4 linked regions of the Schizosaccharomyces pombe genome follow. Changing the gene in region 2 together with the main gene of any one other region gives a genetic interaction. Each region holds a gene or a part of one and is shown on either strand. Other genes may lie near its edges.

What was found.
Region 1: mutations in alg12 (region 2) and ste20 together harm fitness more than expected from each alone (negative genetic interaction), as found in Schizosaccharomyces pombe (one large-scale study listed by BioGRID).
Region 3: mutations in alg12 (region 2) and gid8 together harm fitness more than expected from each alone (negative genetic interaction), as found in Schizosaccharomyces pombe (one large-scale study listed by BioGRID).
Region 4: mutations in alg12 (region 2) and gmh2 together harm fitness more than expected from each alone (negative genetic interaction), as found in Schizosaccharomyces pombe (one large-scale study listed by BioGRID).

Annotation. Positions count from the first base shown.
Region 1 is NC_003423.3:2,473,841-2,480,979, forward strand, and holds ste20 (target of rapamycin complex 2 subunit ste20), read left to right. Parts: upstream 1-2,038; 5' UTR 2,039-2,298; coding exon 2,299-6,228; 3' UTR 6,229-6,622; downstream 6,623-7,139. Other genes in the region: SPOM_SPBC12C2.03C (methionine synthase reductase), read left to right, coding at 1-1,505; SPOM_SPBC12C2.01C (uncharacterized protein), read left to right, coding at 7,091-7,139. UniProt on the Schizosaccharomyces pombe protein: Component of TORC2, which regulates multiple cellular processes to control cell growth in response to environmental signals. TORC2 is required for cell survival under various stress conditions.
Region 2 is NC_003423.3:1,082,761-1,087,121, forward strand, and holds alg12 (dolichyl-P-Man:Man(7)GlcNAc(2)-PP-dolichyl-alpha-1,6-mannosyltransferase), read right to left. Parts: upstream 2,595-4,361; 5' UTR 2,559-2,594; coding exon 2,400-2,558; exon of another isoform or gene 2,352-2,399; coding exon 1,367-2,351; intron 1,322-1,366; coding exon 825-1,321; 3' UTR 556-824; downstream 1-555. Other genes in the region: DNAJ domain-containing protein Mas5, read left to right, coding at 1-182; F1-ATPase gamma subunit atp3, read left to right, coding at 3,176-3,255, 3,335-4,160. UniProt on the Schizosaccharomyces pombe protein: Mannosyltransferase that operates in the biosynthetic pathway of dolichol-linked oligosaccharides, the glycan precursors employed in protein asparagine (N)-glycosylation.
Region 3 is NC_003424.3:4,594,578-4,597,928, forward strand, and holds gid8 (ubiquitin ligase complex subunit protein), read left to right. Parts: upstream 1-1,664; 5' UTR 1,665-1,861; coding exon 1,862-1,962; intron 1,963-2,026; coding exon 2,027-2,222; intron 2,223-2,266; coding exon 2,267-2,692; 3' UTR 2,693-2,803; downstream 2,804-3,351. Other genes in the region: DNA repair protein Rhp41, read right to left, coding at 1-1,212; tea5 (serine/threonine protein kinase Ppk2), read right to left, coding at 2,990-3,044, 3,103-3,351. UniProt on the Schizosaccharomyces pombe protein: Component of the GID E3 ligase complex recruiting N termini and catalyzing ubiquitination of proteins targeted for degradation.
Region 4 is NC_003424.3:167,211-171,670, reverse strand, and holds gmh2 (alpha-1,2-galactosyltransferase Gmh2), read left to right. Parts: upstream 1-1,615; 5' UTR 1,616-1,820; coding exon 1,821-2,861; 3' UTR 2,862-3,905; downstream 3,906-4,460. Other genes in the region: ATP-dependent chromatin remodeller/ubiquitin-protein ligase E3 Rad8, read left to right, coding at 1-699; alpha-1,3-galactosyltransferase Otg1, read left to right, coding at 4,136-4,460.

The sequences.
Region 1 (7,139 bases), 1.4 Mb from region 2:
CCTTCCAGGCTTTGAACATGGATCTAGGTCTTCTACATGAAAATATTACTCTTGACAGAATTCCCAAAGTTCCCGAGAATCATGTCTCTTTGATTGATATCGATGAGGCTCGTGCCAAAGAAGACCCCAACTTTCAAATTCATTCAACTCCTTCTAGAATGCCTCCTCACTATGTTCAACCACACCCTCCGTTCAGTGTCTTTCCCGCCCCTATACTAGACGTTCGTGAGCTCACTAAACCAGGTGCTGTCAAACGTGTGTTCCATTTTGAACTAGACGTTTCCAACTATCCCCTTCCTGAAGGCGAAGAGTGGATGGTTGGAGGGTCGTTTGGTGTAATGGCTCCCAACAACGAAGAGGATGTGGATGAGCTTTTACAATTACTTCATATCAATCCCGACCAGGCAGATGCCCCTGTCCTTTTAAAAACCGATGGAGGTCGTTGGCCCACCATCTGGGCAGAAGACACACCTAGAGAACTCGTTACAACCAGGCGTGAGCTTCTTAAATGGACCGTGGAGTTTATGTCTGTCGCCCCAAAAAAGCAGCTTATTCGGTTACTTGCCGAATACGCCAAGGATGATACCGAGCGGCAAGTTTTGTTGTTTTTGGTCAGTCGTTTGGGACAACGTGCTTTCTGTGATTTAAGGGACCACAACGTTACACTTATCACTCTGCTAAAGGCTTTCCCTAGTGTTCAACTTCCTCTTGATCACCTTTTAACCGTGCTTCCCCAGCTTATGCCTAGATGGTATTCTTTGTCAAACGATCCCAAGGTCAGTAATAATGTATTGGAATTTGCGGTTACAGTTGTTGAAATCAATAAAGTTGAAGGAGGCACTCGTTCTGGTATTGGTTCTGGTTTTTTGAAAAGATTGGCATTGAGATTTTTAAATGGTGAACGAGATCTCGTCCTTCCAATGTACCGCGGTCTGCACAAAAACGCATTTGCCACACATTTTGCTTCTGATGGCCCTATGTGCCTAATCGGTGCCGGTGTAGGTGTTGCTCCCTTTAGAGGTTTTGTGCAACGACGTCTTACAAATGCCACTTGTGCTGGTAAAGTTTGGGTTTTCCATGGATGCCGCGACCAAGAATTGGATGAGCTCTATCATGGTGAGTGGGAAAACCCGCTTCAAAAGTCTTCAGACGATGATGCATCTTCTACAGTCAGCCAACAAACCGAAACTGAAATGGATTCCTTCGAAGTTAAAAAAGACGGTACTAGTGGCCCCAACCATCTTGTTGTTGAATCACGTTCTCACCAACATGCCTATGTACAGGACGAGATTCGACACCGTGGTGACATTGTATGGAGTGTTCTTAGTCATCCTCATGGGAAGGTTTATCTTTGTGGTGGTAAAAAGGGATTTTTAGATGGTGTTGAAAATGCCTTGATTGATGTTTGCGTTCAATACGGAAAAATGAGCAGGCTGGAAGCTACCCAACAACTTGCTCTTTGGCAAAGTCCACTTAACCTTAAATACATAAAGGAGATTTGGTAAATGAATGAAGTTGTTTATCCACGTTACCAATATTTATTTTTTCGTTAAAATTTTTTTTTTGTTTACTATCTTTTCACATTATTTTCGATTCTTTTCTGTCTTTTTTATTATCGTTTCGTTTTAAAAAAATCTTTTTTGAAATGTTTCGAAAGCAATATTTGTATCTCAAAATGGCATTTTAATTCTATATTGGCTTGGGCATATCTGTTAAAACATTTTTTGTTTAGCCTTTTGTTTCCATAAATAAAAATATAAACAAATTTTAATAGTTGATTGTAGTAATATAATTTACTCATCTTATTCTCTTGCTTTGATTTATCCTTCATGTTTTCGTATACTGTTAACTAGCAATCTTGAGACTGTAAAGTAAACATTAAGGATTCGATTCTTTAGTGAACCAGTACCTAGTATCTAATTATTTATTAGCGAATTCTAAGGAAATTTGTTTTGCCCATTAATAGCGAAACATCACTCCATGTCGTACAATCGTTAACGCCGGTAACAGAACTCCGATTAAGTTCAGCCGTTGGGGTATCCATGAGCATACGAGCATAGTTCGCAAGCATTATCATTTTAGGACTCTTCACAATCTTAAGTTATTATTTAAGTGTTAATATCTTTAATTTTACTAGATTGCTTAAAAATTGAGAGTTTGACTAGCCCAGTAAGCAATCGCGTGTTGCACGCAATAAGTATTAGTACGAAAACATACTATCCCTTTATAAGGCTATTTCATGAAGGCGCTTATGGAAGGAGATAGCTTTTTTATTCCTGCTTTTAATGATCAGTGCTCATGAAACCTGTGCGAAGGGGACAAACCGATACTGCTTTGGATATAAGTTCCCATGCCAAAACTAATGGTGACTTTATCAAAAAAATGAATACCACTGATTCAAAAAGGCTCAAGTTACTTGAGGATTTGAAGGGAAAGCTCGAAGTTGAGTGCAAAATACGGGATGGCGCTGAAACGTTGCTGCAAGTCTTCGACACCAATTTTAAAAAAGAAACAAAAGAACGTAAAGAAATGTTAAAAAAGAAATGTACCGATGAGCTCGAATCATCTAAAAAAAAGATAGAGGAATTAGTTTCTAGCATTGAATCTTTCCAAGGAGAAAATGGTGAAGCAAAAACTGGCTCAACCAGTCTCACGAGGTCTGCTTCTGCGACTGTCAGTCGAAAGAGCTCATTGCAGGAAAAGTATAGTACGAGATTTTCTTACAAAGCAGGATGTAGCGATAGTTGCAGTGTTACAGTCAGTGGGACTGGTGAATTAATAGGTCCTACCAGAAATGCGCATAGCAATTTAACTCCTACCGTCATTCAAAGAATTGACTTTGAAAATGTCAACGAAAAAAATAATTCTTCTTCTGAAGATACTCAACCTAACGGAAAACGTCCTTCTAGTTTGCAATCGAATTTCTCACAATTTCCATTAAATCCTTGGCTTGATAATATATATAAGGCTTGTCTTGAAGGCAGTATGAAGGATGTAATCGATTCCTCAAATAATTTATGTGAATACTTACATGAACATTCTGATCCCGCTTATGCAAAAAACTTCTCCTTGATTACTCCGACCATACTTTCAATGCTCGAGTTGAATGTCTCTGAAGTTACGGCTTCTGTTTATAGACTACTAAGGCATTTGTTTCTTGACGCAACAGCATTCTCTTGTTGTCAAATGTTGAATTTACCTTGGATCTTGTCAAAGTCTCTACTTTCTGGTACCGATGCATATCAAATTGAACGAGAGCAAGCATTCCGACTAATCCGAACTCTTTATTTTCTTTCATCAACTGAAGGACATGAGGATTATCTTTCAGGTATTACGAGGACTATCATTTCAATTTGTGAGCATGTATCAGATGTTAGTCGTGGAATTGCTGTTGAAACTCTTATCGAGTTAATGATTATTCGACCAAAAATTTTATTTAAAGCTAATGGTTTAAGGGTTTTAATGATCTCCCTAATCGATGGAAGTATTTCTGAGAATTTAGCAGCTAGTGCTGCACTTGCATTAGTATATCTTTTGGATGATCCTGAAAGCGCTTGTTACGTAAATTTACCCTACGATATTGGCATTTTACTTTCACCTTTTACTAGTTCTTCTTCGCGAGATACATTTAATTCCTCTGAGGAACAGTCTGAACAAGCTGCAAAAGCCATGAAATCTTCCGCCAAAGTTGCCTCTGTTTTGCTTAATTCATGGTCTGGATTATTGGCTTTGTCTACCAATGATTTTCAGGCTCTTCGGTCGATTGTTGATACACTTCGGGTTCCATCCTTTGCTCCACGAAGCGATGTAATTGATCTTTTCTTTTTAATTTTCCAAGTTGAGTATTCAAGTTGGTCAGAGTCTTTTTTGGCCGGAAAACGATTAACAGTCGTTAAAAATCAGGCTGTATCTAATGATGATAACATAAACATGGTTAATATACCGGATGGTTCCAACAAAAAGTACATGTCGCTACGCCAACATTTTACAGCCGTCTTATTATTTATATTTTTGGAGCTCGGTTTGGTTGAATCTATTGTATGTATGATTAGGGCCAGCGATGACCCATCAGCCTCACGTAAAGCTACATATCTTCTAGGAGAGGTATTGAGGCTGTCTGATGAGCTACTGCCGATTCATTTAGGAGCCAAAATACAATCCTTGCCATCTTTATTTAATATGGCTTCTCAATTTACTGCCGAAGACAGGTTTGTTGCCACTTCTGTTCTTCAATCCATTGAAAGTTTGAATAGAGTTAAATTCCATTCTGCAACACAACCTTTCTCGCAGACAACCTCTCTTCTTTTTAAGGAGCAAAAAACTGATGGATCTTTTCGGGGGCAAAGACAGGTTGAGCATGTTAAATTGAAAATGGGCATGCAGATTGATGATTCACATTTTCGTAGTATGCTAGCTGAAACCAACGTGTTAGCTACAAAAAACTATCAAAAATGGCGATGGGATACACTTGTCCAAATTATGGAGGGTCCATTGCTAAGTCCGAAACGTATTGATGAAACTTTGCGAACCACAAAATTTATGAGACGGCTTTTAGCATTTTATAAACCCTTTTCCAACAGATTTTCTTCCATACAAAACACTAAACCAAATCAAAAATTTATAAAGGTTGGTTGTCTTGTTTTCAGGACTTTACTAGCCAATCCGGAAGGCGTTAAATATCTTTCTGAAAGCAAAGTGATTAAACAAATAGCAGAATCTCTTAGCCAGATAGACGGATATTCAGAACAGGTTTCTGAGCCGATTTTCTCGAACAGTAGGCTTCAGAAAACCCTCACCCACGGTTACTTTCCTATGTTAAAAGTATTGTCAAGCCAAAAGGAAGGTCATGCAATTATGGAACGATGGAGGATTTTTACTACACTTTACCATTTGACAGAATTGAGGAACAGAGACGATCTCATAATTATTTTTCTGACTAATCTTGATTATCGGCTAGAGGGGCACACACGAATTATATTTTCTAAGGCGCTTAATACCGGGCAACAGGCTGTACGCTTAACTGCAACCAAGCATCTTGCGGCTTTAATCAATTCTGAGTCTGCCAATGACAACTTAAATCACTGGGCAATTTCTCTATTGATATTTCAACTGTACGATCCTTGCTTGGAAGTATGTAAAACAGCAGTGAAGGTGTTGAATGAAGTTTGTGCTCGAAATGAAAACTTGCTGGCTCAAGTTGTTCAGCTTCAACCTTCATTGGCCCATTTGGGTGAAATTGGCTCACCTTTACTTTTACGTTTTCTTGCTACAACTGTCGGATTTCATTACCTTTCTGAAATTAATTTTATTGAACATGAACTCGATAATTGGTACCATCATCGAAATATAGATTACGTGGATTTATTGGAGCAAAATTTTTTCCTTTCTTTTGTTTCAAATCTCAAAATTATTGACAAGAAAAACAATGAACCAGATGAAAATATACTTCCCCTACACTTTTATGGCGAATTAGTCAAATCTCCACAAGGTTGTGAGGTTCTCGAGTCTTCTGGGCATTTTGAATCTTTTATGGGTACCTTGGTGGAATTTTACGATAAACCGTTAGGAAATGAAGCCATCAGGCAGTTAAAGAGTGCTCTTTGGGCTATAGGAAACATTGGAAAAACCGATCAGGGTATTACGTTTTTAATTAACCATGATACGATACCGTTGATTGTCAAATATGCCGAAAATTCATTGATTCCTACTGTTCGAGGAACTGCTTATTTTGTATTAGGCTTGATTTCCAGGACTTCTAAAGGCGTTGAGATACTCGAATCACTGCATTGGTATAGCCTTATGTCTTTAATGGGCACTTCACAAGGAATTTGCATTCCGAGACATGCTGGACAAGTATTATCAACTCCAAGGAGAAATGTTGAGTTTGTAAATGAGCGCGTGCCAACTCCTGAGTTTTCTTCATTACTTAGCTCTTTAACTAACTCAGAGAGAGAGGTAATTAGGCTCGTTTCCAATTTGTCAAACCATGTTTTAACAAACGAGTCAGCACGGCAACTAACAAAGATTCGTTCGAAAAATGCTAAAGTTTTCTCCTCTAAACGTTTGGTGAAAGCTTGTATGACCATTCTGGGAAAATTCCATTACCGTGTTCAGATTCAACAATTTGTATTTGAATTATTTCCTTACTCGGTTTTATTGTCTTCCTCAACCTCACAGGACTTAAATGAATCCCCGTCCAGGCCGAATAATTTGTCAATTTCCGCATGAACTCCAAATTTCCGAACCTTCACTTTTCTAAAATTTTTGTAAATTAATGATTTTTATGATTTCTTATTATCGTTTTTCTTCTGTTATTCAATAAGTTTGATCTTTAGTTTTCTGCTTATTCTTTGACCTTCCCTCTTTGTTTCTTTTCATAAGTTTATTTACTAAGTTAGACTAGTGTTTACATAAAAGGTGATTGCGCTAGGGTTAGTAATGAGTTTATAATTGTTTTTGGATGTTTAAATTATTAATCTAATATTTATAAGACATGTCTGATACTTGCGGATATTTTTTTGAATTTGTGTAGTTTAGGTAGGCCTGCTTAGCCCCTGGCCTCCATACGATAGTAATATGAACAAGAATATATTGCCTTTCATCTTTTCGTGCTAATTTTTACTTTGTACGCTGTTATTATCAATATAAAAATTGCGTACCACAAAGGTGTACTTATATGTAATACCCATGCTTAGCAAGTTATGCTCAACTTCCACATACAACGTATGCAACGAACGGCAGCCTCATGTTATAGTAAATTAGCAAATCCTATATAACTAAACGAAAGTGTATTTGCTTAACATATCGTGGAGTTTGGGCATATTTCTGCTCACAAGTAAATCTCATACAACATCGCATTTGGTTTTAATTTGTTTTGGTTGTTCGCAAGGAAGAAGATTATTCTTTAAAAAAAAGGAAATAAATTTATAAATATAATTTGAAAAAAAATATATATATATATATTTGGGTTTTTACACTCTTTTGACTACATAACTCGATAGGTTTTCGGATTTGTTTAATAGACAAAAGAAGGAAGTACGTTTAAGGGTTTATTTCTATGGAACATTATTGATTTTTTTTTTTTCTTGCTATGTACAATGTGACATACAGGTTACTTCGTCTAAGCTTGATTTCTTCTC
Region 2 (4,361 bases):
CTCCCCGTAAGATTGAGAGCGCTCCCAAAAATGCTCACACTGAGGAATGTGTTTTGGCAACTGTCGATCCTACTGAGAAGGTTCGCATTGACAATAACGTGGACCCCACTACTGCCACTTCGATGGATGAAGATGAAGATGAAGAAGGTGGACACCCCGGTGTTCAATGTGCTCAACAGTAAACCTGTCTTATTCTGAATTTCTTTTCATTCATTTTTTCAAAATTGACAGCATTTGGATTCGTTATCCTTTTAAGAAGAGCCTAGACAATTATTTGTTTTCAGATGTTCCTAATCTTTTCCTTAGGTTTCGAGTTGCTATTGCATGTATACCTTATTCTCTTGTTCCTTTTTTTCATCCTGTAAACTCATTCCCCTCATTTGGTGTTAGTTTTCTTTTATCTCATAAAGATGTTTGATATCTAGCTTCGGCATATCTAACATACTTGCCTTTGATAGTTATTCTCTCGGTTCTTATCTTGGTCTTTATACTTCGTTAATACGCTGCTTCAATAAATATAATGACTGCAAAAAGTCGATTTATAAATATGAATACATAAATTAGATCTTGCTTGCTTTGTTTGTAAAATTTTAGTATTTGTGAGACAATTACAATTACGGCTTTTGGAAAAAGTAGTAAATAATTTTTGATGCGCTTCTGCACTTTGAATTGTCTGCGAACTAAAATTATGTTTATTCACTCTACTTATCGTTGCAATACAATTCAAGTGGGGGATGCTACTAAATTGTAACTGTAAATACAAAATCGTAAAACTTGAAGAATATACCTTGAAAAAATTTTACTCTCGTTTTCTTACTAAACTATCATCCCTGGGTGATATGCGTTAGAATCCGATCTTTGTCAATAAAAAAGTTCAGACGGTCTTCCCGGTAATCTCTTGTCAACAATGTGTCAGGAGATACCACCCTATAAATAGGAGGCCAAAGTTTAATCTCGTCAACTTTATGTCCGATGAATGAAGAGTAGTCATCAACTGCGGCAGGTTTAGTTGCTCGTGCTTTTTTGTTTGCCAAGATGTAAACGGGCTGTGCTGGATTTCTTATGGAGATTTCTCGCGGTATGTGATTACTTAACCATTTTGGAAGGATGGGAATTTTCGTGTTGGAATTAACGGATTCTATAACATCAAAAGTATCATTATATGATTCGGGATCTTCGGTGATTAAATAGTCGAATTGGGAAATAAATAAAGAATTTGAAAGCATTTTAGGATCCTCAGTTTTGTCATAGTACCACGATGGAAGCTGTGAAAATCGAGTTATACCTGTCATACACGGATATACATCCATGTGTACAGAAACTAAGTACGTTAGAATAATCTAATTGGTGAAAAAGTTGAACTTACCTTGGGGATGATTTTCAATTTCATATAAACGAGTTAATGCTAGACCACCAGGGTAAGCGTATTGAAAAACATATAACAAAAAACTGCTTCCAATAAACCCGAAGATTATCCCCGAAAAAAACATTAACCTTAGAATTTCAAATATTTTCTTGCCAAATTTACTGGCATTAAAGCATAAGGAAGCCCCAATTGCACTAGCTGCGTTAAACCAAGGGATCGAATAGATAATAAAGCGCCATTCTTTATGGCCTAAAAATGAATAAACAAATATAAAGAAAAGGGGAACATATATTAAAAGACGAGCAGGCTTGATGTAAACAAAGCTGATTAAAAGGAAGAGCAATGTCGTGGGATTGAGAAATAGCCAAGGAAGTCTCACAAAGTAGTAGTAAAAAGGGCTTGTTCCCCAATCTGAAGATTTCCCTTCAACAACATTGAATAAGAAAGCTTCTAATTCAGGCCAACACCAAGCCCCCCAGAAATAGGAATCAATGAGAAAAGAAGCTCCCACTGCTGCTAATGAAGAAGAAATACCAACGAGTAGCAATTTTGATAAAGTAATCCTCCTCTGAAGCAATAATGGTAGAATCAAACACATTAGAAGTAAAGCTATTTCGGACCTAACAATCGCTGCGGCAAAAACTAAAATACTGATAGAGCCGTAATAATTATTTTTAAGTAACAAAGAAAGAGAGTGGTTCGTAGCTATTAGTCCGAAAATATTTGACAATGGTCTGGACATATAGTACACGAGGTGAAATTGAGCGCAGCTAAACAGTATAAACAGTGCTCCAGACAATGTGCCGAATCGTTTGCTAATGGAGCAGCTTACAGAATTCATACTCTCCCAACTTAAATACCCAATTGTCCATCTAGCGGCAAGTAATGGATTAACAAACCAAGAAGGTATATAGGACAAAACTGCTATAAACAAACTCGGTATGAAACTCCGTTTAACGGCTCCTGGAAACTCCAGATGATCATACTAAAATATGTGAGTAATTTAAATAAGGAAATAATTATCAACTACTACCTTTGACAAATCCCAACGATACGTCTGAATGTCATGAATCGCTTGCATAGCAAACGACTCTTCTACCTTTGTAAACGGAGTTTTGTACGAATAATACCCTATGCATGTCACAAGCAAAATATTTGCCAAATACCAACAAATGCTCTCTTTAGAAGTCATCCCGCTTCATCATTTATTGAAAGCATACAAATAGTTATTGGAGAAAGAGCAAAGGTGAATGAATATACGTAAATAAAGCAACGATTAATTTTGCTAAATCTAGTTTAAGGAGATTCAAGGTAATGATTTATTTGTTATAAACAAGGGTTGTTCGCTGCACTGTCTTCTAACTTTGCATCTTTGTGTACGTTAAGTATCTGCTTCTCCTCTTTTAATCGAACATTTTATATGTTAAATTTTAATTACCTCTACTATTTGCAAAACGAAATTCACATCTTTCATCAAAATTTAATTATTCCTTCTGTTTAGGGAAACTTTGAAAGAATACAACGATCCTCGTTAACTGATTTACCATGGTAGTTTAACGTATAGCGTTTTGGAGGAATATTCATTATAGAAAACGTGCTATTATAATTAAGGTGAGAGATATAATTGCATTTCATTTATTATTTAAACTAATTTTTCTTCTTATCGTTCCTGAAAATCGTTGCTAGTACGGTCTATAGAACGATAGATTCGTCGGTTCCAATAGCATGCTTTACCACGGGTATACACCAAACCTCCCCCCATATCATTACGAAACAGGAATCAATAAAAGCTAACGTCAATTGAACATTATGCTTCGTCAAACGCTAACTCAGGCGTCTCGGATGCGTCCTTGTATATCTGTAGTTGGATTTCGGGGTTTTCACGCTAGGTATGTTGTTTAGGTTTACTTTTTGTGATTCACAAACATATTCGAAGTTGAATGCATTTTTTCTAACGATTTTTTATAGTTCTCCTTGTGAGGCAACGCTAAAAGAGATTGAACAAAGGCTGAAGTCTATTAAGAACATTGAAAAGATTACCAAGACCATCAAAACTGTAGCTCAAACTAAGCTTACTAGGGCTCAACGTGCTATGGAAGCTTCTAACAAATACTATCGTGTATCTGATGAAGTGTTTAAGGAGGCTGGAACTAAAGCACCTGAGGAGGGTAAAACTCTTATGGTTGCTTGCTCTAGTGACAAGGGTCTTTGTGGTGGTATTCATTCTTCAATCTCTCGTCTTATCCGTAGAGAACTACATGATCCTAAGACATTTGAGAACACAAGTTTGTGTATTTTGGGAGAAAAAGTTCGCACTCAATTACTTCGTTTCTGTCCCGAATCTTTCTACTTGACTTTTGCACACATTGGTGGAGCTAGTCCTTCTTTTGAAGAAGCTTTACAAATTTCTAGTAACATTTTGGAACATGCTAAAGACTATGATAGAATTGTTCTCGTCTATAACAAGTTTGCTTCCGCTGTCTCGTTTGAAACTGTGATGAAGAACTTGTATACAACTAAGGCCATCAATGAATCCCCCAATCTCTCTGCATACGAGGTAAGTGATGAAGTCCATCAACCACTCATGGAATTTGCATTTGCCAATGCTATTTTTTCTGCCATGGCGGAAGCTCATTGCAGTGAAATGTCATCTCGTCGTAACGCCATGGAAAATGCAAGCAAGAGTGCTGGAGATATGATTAACAAGTTTTCCATCCAATATAATCGTCAACGTCAAGCCTCCATTACTAACGAACTTATCGATATCGTTACTGGTGCAAACTCTTTGGCTTAATTCTTGATCTCTTTGGTAAGGTTCAAATGCATGTTAAGATTTTTAAATTAAAGAAGTTTGTGAAATATAAGCGCTGAAGTCAACGATATTTCTTGTCTATTTAGCTTAACTTTTTACCTTTATACCATTTGAACCGTAATTCATTGAAAACGTTCAGATTAAGCTTACCTTTTGTTCTTAATAAATTTACGTCCATCTTTT
Region 3 (3,351 bases), on a different chromosome or scaffold from region 2:
ATCCATGTCATTATAAAAATCCCTTGGTTTTCCAATTTTAGAAAATATTCTATTCATCCAAGCCTTTCCAAAGGGAAAAATCTCGACTCTATTCTTTAATATTTTATAATAATGTAAACAATATTTTCGGGTAACATCTTTTACATACCCATTAGCCTCAATAGCAAATACATAAGTCATTTGATTTAGATGGTCACTGGAAGCCGGTTCAAACCTTCTGTACTTGCCAATGACACTAGCATCACCAAATGGATCAACACAAACCCATTTTTGCATAGCTTTATTAAAAGCCTCTACCCAAAAAACCGGTTTGGGAGAATCAATTACCTTTAGTTTTGTATCTTCTGTAACAATATCTGAGGCATCAAGATGTGAAAGATTTGAAAAAGAAGGCTGTATGATTTTCCTACGTTTGCGAAATCTAGAAGTAATGTGTGCACTTTCAGAGATATCGCTAGATGAATCATTTTCCATTTGCTGAGACCATGCCGGAACAATTTCATGACTACTTGCTTCATTTATGGCACCTTTAAATCGAAAAGATAAAACTTGTAGTGAAAAAACTAGTCTAGTTGGAACGTTTAAATTACGAAGAATAGATGCAAATAACTGGGTTCCATAATCTCTACTACCGGAAAGCAATTTTGAGTTTTTACAAAACTCCTCAAGGGATAAAGATTCAGAGATGAGGCTATTGTTTTGTAGTAAACCATAATTCGGTTTTCTTAATCCATTGGTAGTGATTTTATATTTCCGTTTCCAAACTTCGACGAGTCCAGCCAACCCGTGTAGGAAAGTTTTGTTCCGAATCATTTGTGACTTTTGAGAAGAGGGATGAAGCGAGACACGTATACCAGGAGGAATATATTTCACAAGATAATTTAGTCTATTGTCATCGCACCAAGTGTTTCGTGTGCAAAGATGATAAGTCAAACAGAGTAAGTGTAACTGATGAATTTGAAGACGAATCTTTCTATCAACGGAAGTGATCTTTAAGCGGCTACGTTTTTCAACCGTTCGATCAACGGTGGCCTCAACGTCTCCAAAATCATGAGTTGGTCGTTCTTGAATCAACCTTTCACCATGTACGGCGGATGAAAGGAGCGAAGAATTTAAAATAGGTGCAGTTTTAATATCATTATTAGGGAGACCAAGATCTAAATCTAACCATTCTTCATCATCACTATAGGTATTATCTTCGTCACTCATCATAGCATTTATATTTGATAGAAGCCAACTTTTTTCAGTATTAAGACTCGTTGCGCCCTTATTCTATTATATTATTTTAAAAAATGAAACATAAAAAACCAATGAAACGTTTTTGAGATGCGTAACTCTTTAAAAACACTAGGGAGCACGAGTTTATAAAGATACTTCAATTAAGTAGAATATAAGAAAATGTTTTGACCATTAATAATGCACGTAACACATGAGAAAAAGATTTGTATTTATTGATACGAAAAGTAGTTCATAACGTTAAGAAAAACAAATTCCTTTTCTATTAAAATCATAGCTAACGTTGAATTTGTTTATATACAGCGTTGTAGTGAAACCAAAAATCGCCGTTAGAGTACATTATATTTTAAGTTAGAAGTTTGCGTTGCATTTTGGTAAACGGCATATCTTTGAGGTAGCGATATGGCTACTTTGCAACTTCAATCTTTAGCATTGCACAGGCTATTCGAATTTCAAATTGCCTTTTTCAAGGGTTTACTATCTCTATCCTATATAAATTTCGTTAAATTTCTTTTTATCAAGAATTGAGGCTCGTTTATCCGGTCATAACTTTTGGTAGCTTTAAAAGGTCTCTTTGTTTAGGATAGAATAGAATTTGCTACCGTTCTCTCACGAGAGCTTAAAGATGGTAGGCACTTCTTCTTTAGATATTTCAATGAGCGGTAGCTCAAGTTCGGACGCAGAACAATGGGAGAAACAGACAAAAAGTGTCCATATCGATAATTCGTAAGTAACTGAAATAGTTGCTTCGCTGAACGTTACTGATGGTTACTAATCATTGCTTGTACAGAGACGTGAATTCGCTGATTTTAGATTATTTGGTGATTCAAGGTGACGAAGAAGCCGCAAAAACATTTGCTGAAGAAGCTCAAATTACGGATTATTATATTCCTCCATATGTAAAAGAACGTTTAGAGATTTGCGAGTTAATTAAATCAGGTTCAATTAACTCTGCAATATGCAAACTGAATGAATTGGAGCCAGAGGTATGCTGAAAGCAAGTAAGGATTACGAGTTAACAGCTACATAGATTTTGGACACAAATTCAGAACTTCTGTTTGAATTATTACGATTGAGATTGCTTGAATTGATACGAGAAGTTGTTGAAGAGAAAGATACCTCTGATTTAGCGGTAGAAAGATGTTTAAACTTTGCACATGAAAATTTAGCACCTTTAGCACCCTCAAATCAAAAGTTTTTGAATTCTTTAGAGTTGACAATGTCGCTTTTATGTTTTCCTCCTTCTTCCTACAGCCCTGCCTTGAAAAATGTTTTGAATTACAGCCAACGTGAGCGTGTTGCAAACCTTGCCAACGTTAGTATATTGAAGTCTCAAGGATTATCAAATGAGTCTAGGTTGTTGTCTTTGGTAAATTTTGAGCGCTGGTGTGAAAAAGAGGCACAAAGGAATTCGATTGAAGTGCAGAAATTTGTGCCCAAAGCATCCATAAAATGATTACTTTTTACGACCTTCCTCAGTTTATGCATTTATGTCTGTTACATCCATTTAACATAAGAACTTTTTTCGTATTGTTCTCACTAATGATAATTAAATTATTGAACTCACAAATGATAATATGACATTCAATTAACAAAGCCAATTTTTGTTGTTAAGCAACATCGTATAGTATCAAGTTACTGACAAGCAAAGCAAACACAACTTTTCCTTTTAAAAGTAAGGAGGGAATTTAATGGGTTATTAAATTAGCAATATTTTTTCTATGGCGAATAATTTGATTTTCTTCATTGGTAATCATAGATAACTGTAGCGAGATGCCTTTCGTTCTCGCAAATTAAGATTGTTTAGGCTAAAAAAAAAGGTTAGAATTGGATATAAACAAAAGTGTTCCAAAACTGAAAACTTACCAAATTTCAAAATTGAGCGTTTGTCGCTTTTCCAAAAAACTAGAAGTTTCCAACAACATATTGATATTAGGGCCTTGTAATGTTTCGGCTTGCAAGGTTTGTAAAAGGAATTCCTTAAATTCTTGGCTAATTAATCCACGAACTCGGTTGACTAAAACATTTGCATTCGGAGTTAGTTGGATGGATTGAATAGATTTACGAAAAAAGTTTGGCTGACCTTGAAAAATTTCAAGAGCAACTAAGCCCAAG
Region 4 (4,460 bases), on a different chromosome or scaffold from region 2:
TTGTCAGAACATATTCAGTATCAAAAAAGAAGAAACATAATTCCTCCGCTTTGTCATACATGTCGTCAACCCTTCAATGAGCAAGATGTCTATAAACCTTTTTTTGTCAAAAATAACGGAACACAGTCTACGCTTTTAGTCGGTGAGGAAGTAAAATGGAAATATTGGAATAGGCTACAATCAGTGAAACTTAATGGCCTTTTAGGACAATTGCGTCAATTAACTCATAGTTCTGAACCTGAAAAGGTCGTTATCTTTTCACAGTTTACCACATTCCTGGATATTATCGCAGACGTTCTCGAGTCAGAGAAGATGGGGTATGCTAGATTCGATGGTACCATGTCACAACAAATGAGGTCGACGGCTTTAGAGACATTTCGAAATGATCCTGATGTTAACGTGCTGATTATCTCTTTAAAGGCAGGCGGGGTTGGTTTAAACCTTACTTGTGCCAACCATGTTTTTATTATGGATCCATGGTGGAGCTGGTCAGTGGAAGCACAGGCCATCGATCGTATTCATCGTTTAGGACAGGAAAAGCCTGTATTTGTGACGAGATATATTGTACGTGATACTGTTGAGGAAAGGATGCTCAAAATACAAGAACGCAAAAATTTTATTACTGGGACCCTGGGCATGTCGGAAGGAAAGCAGCAGGTTCAGTCAATTGAAGACATCAAAATGTTGTTTGAATATTAACAACGGTTTCACCAAGCCGATTAAAAGCTATCGTAAAAAAAAAGTATTTTCATATTATGCATATGAAATGCAATTGCTACCGTGGTCGTTGTCATGACTGTCAAATTCTAAGAGAGTATGTGATAAACAAACTGCGTTACAAGATAAATTATAAACTATCTACACCCCTTGGATTTGTTGATTCACGTCTATCACTAATGAATGCGAAATAGTCGAATTCGGTGCATAAGTAACAAAAGTATTAAGGAACGACAGTTTACCCTGGAGCTATACAATCTAAAGTAGTGAATGTGTAATACTTTATTCCATTTTTTGAACTCATAAATTTCCTTGGATGACTTACTTTTTTGTATTCATGATGTTGTTGCTGAGTATCATGGGCAAGGGAATATAAGTTTTAGCTGCTGCAGTGTAAAGGCTGGCTAATGTTTTGTTCAGTATATTAGAGATAGGTATAATTGTTAACTTTTATTCGATTTTTTTATTATTGTTAACCTTGTTAAATAGTAGTAGCGATTGTGATGGAAATCCGGTCACAGAAAGAAAGCGATGTGTATAATTCAACTATATTGGTCAGCCTCTCTCTTTGTTGAAAAGTCGAAGTAGTTGTTTAATAAGGTCAAGATATTTTGATGAAATCAGTGACACAAAATTAAATCCGAATATTTTAGCTAAGTTTTCATTCCATAAATTTCATTTTTCTAATAGCTACCCGTAGAAAGTTTTATAAGCAAGTAACGTGCCGGTTGCTGGGTTATAAAAATTTAGGCAAGGTTACGGTTGTCTCTACCATCGGCAAAGGAGCCGACGTTAATAAAATATTTAACAAAGCCTTTAAAAAATTAACGATAGCTAGTCAAAGGAAGCTTAACGCGTATTCAGCCTCATTAAGACAATCAGGAAGCTTTTTTTTACCATCAGCATATACCTCTAACCCTTTGATTTATTTTTATATCTCGAGATTTCGTTCGTTATTTTATAGGTCGTTTCGATAAGACCTTAATACAATCTGATTTAGTGGTTGTTTAAGATTTCGGAAAAGCCTTTTTTTCAAAAAAAGTTTTCCAGTTATTGTTTCATTATTTCTAATTGATTTACTGAAGAATTGTTATAACCTAAAGATGGCACTTATGTTATCCAGGATTCCACGTCGTTTTTTTTTCTTATTTTTAACGGTCGGCTTGATTGCTGGCGCGTTTCTATACTCGTTGATATATTTTGTGGACGTTGATTTGGTGTCGAAGGTTAACCAGTTGTATGATCAGCAAATTGCACCCATGCTCTCCGATGCTATTGGCACTCCATCCGTTAATCACTCGTTTGAGTTGGCGCCGTTAGACTCTCATTTGGTGGCCACAAGCACTACATTCCACGAGGCGTCATACGAGTCAGAGCCTCAGCAAAATCCTGCCAGTCAAAATATTGTCTTATTACTAGTTAGTGATGGACACACTTCTTACAATAATGGAGCTAATACGTTTGAAGAAGCTATACAGAACAGAGTTGACTATAGTACCAAACAAAACTACAACTTTGAGTATGTCAATGTTACTGGCCTCCCTATTCCCGCCGTTTGGTCCAAGATGCCCGCCGTCTTACAAACTATGAAGAAATACCCCAAAGCGGAATGGATCTGGTTGTTGGATCAGGATGCAATTATTACTAATACCCATCTTTCCCTTCAAGACTCCTTTTTGAAACCTGAGAACTTGCAAAAGACCTTAATTACTAATACCATCCTCACTAAACGGCCTATAAATGCTAACGGGGATTTGCGTTATACACCAAGTAATTATAGTTTAAAAGATATCGAAAATCTCATGGTCATAATCTCACAGGATCACAATGGATTAAACGCAGGTAGTATCTTGTTCCGTAATTCACCTGCTACTGCCTTGTTTTTGGATATTTGGACAGATCCTGTTGTTGCAGAATGTGCGAAAGCCAATAATGAACAAGACATGCTTGGATATTTGATTTCTAAGCATTCACAACTTGCTTCGCTGGTTGGCCTTATTCCTCAAAGAAAAATAAATGCTTTTCACGAAGGTCCGGAAAATATGGAATGGCAAAAAGGTGATTTGGTAATTCACTTTGCTGGATGTTGGGTTGAAAACCGCTGCGATGAACTATGGCAAAAGTTTTACGCCTTGATTGACTAAGTTGCTTATTCATTATATCCGTCTGTTTAATTTGTTTGTGTTTTAAAAAATTTTATATATATAAACAAAGCGCCGTATAATTTTCCGTCAATCTTCCTTTCTTTATCTGAATCTCTAATAATGTTTACTATTTTTTAATCTTTACATACCTAATTAATATAGCGGTTGTGCCATAGCAATCAAAGTTTCAGGTTAGTTTTTTATAGCGAGATATCTGGGAGTTTTGTTTTACACAATCGTCCATCAATAATTGTTATATATTGTATATATTTCACATTGACTTTGAAGCTGTTTCTGTTGGTTCAACTAATTTGCTTTGGCAATTTACCAATGCAATATTGAAGATTGGAATAACAGTTTGGCGTTAATAAATCTTTTTAATAATTTGCATTTCACCGCAGCTGCCATTTTCTGTTAAATGCTGATAGAAGTTTTATTGAATCATTCGTGTCGGATTATACTAAGTTTTTATTTATCTTGTTTTTTGGCCCTACAAAGTATTGGTATGTCCTTATTTTATATTGATTACACTGGCTTTTGGCCTTATAAAGATATAGATTAGTTGCTAAGTCTAAAAGATGTATTTTTTAACGGTGGTTCCATTACGTCTGTGCACCCACTGTTTACACTTGTGTCTTTACAAACCTAGAAGCATTTTCCGATTAATGAGGTCTATCAGGTCAAGGAGAAAGAATATTTGAATAGATTTATCGACAAAATATATTTCGTTAAATTTACACAATATTTACTTTACCAATAAGCTAAATGGTATTTCCAATACTTTTCCAGCTAACAGTCAGATTTTTCACTGTTTGAAACAACTTCACCAAATTAATTCATTAGTGTCAATTTCTATTACATGCTTAAGCTCATAATTTTCAACATCCAGATAGCTCGAAAGTTGACACCATTACACACAAACTAAGATGATTGTGAAAAAACAAAGCGTTAGGATTTGTAAAAGGCAATTCCACAATTTGAATTACAATACTGTAACTGAATATAGCGCGGCACATGGTACAAACAACGTGCTGGTAATAAATTGACAAATGCAGAGCAACCCGCGTGATGAAACATAAATCTCGGATATTTTTTCTTTAAAGGGTTGTTAACGCAAGTCGTTTAAGGGTAAAAGAAATAAATAAATTTTAGAGGGTAACATCCTCATAAAGGGAGTCATCTTTAGAGCCTTTTTTCATTTTTTTAAGGCTTTCGAAAATTTCACGTGTCTCAAATTCTATTGTTTCAGCGGTTCGTTGAATTAATCTCTTATCATGTCTCGAATTTCACTTTCAAATTTTTTATCTCTTCCGCGTTACAAATTCCTGTTGTTTTCTGTGGTTTTGATTATTGTGATGACAACCTTAGTGTTTAACGGACACGATTATAAGCAAACCCTTAATGACCGGCTTACTTCATTAAAAAACAACTTTGTTGAGGAAAATGATAATGCCGTCTTAAAAGAAGAGCCTGGCAAATATACGTATATGAGTTTGTTTACTATGCCTTCTACTGAAGAGGATTACTACTTCAACGCTACTAGGGTTTTAATTCACCGATTGAAATATCATCCTACTACCAAAAGTAAATACCCTATCC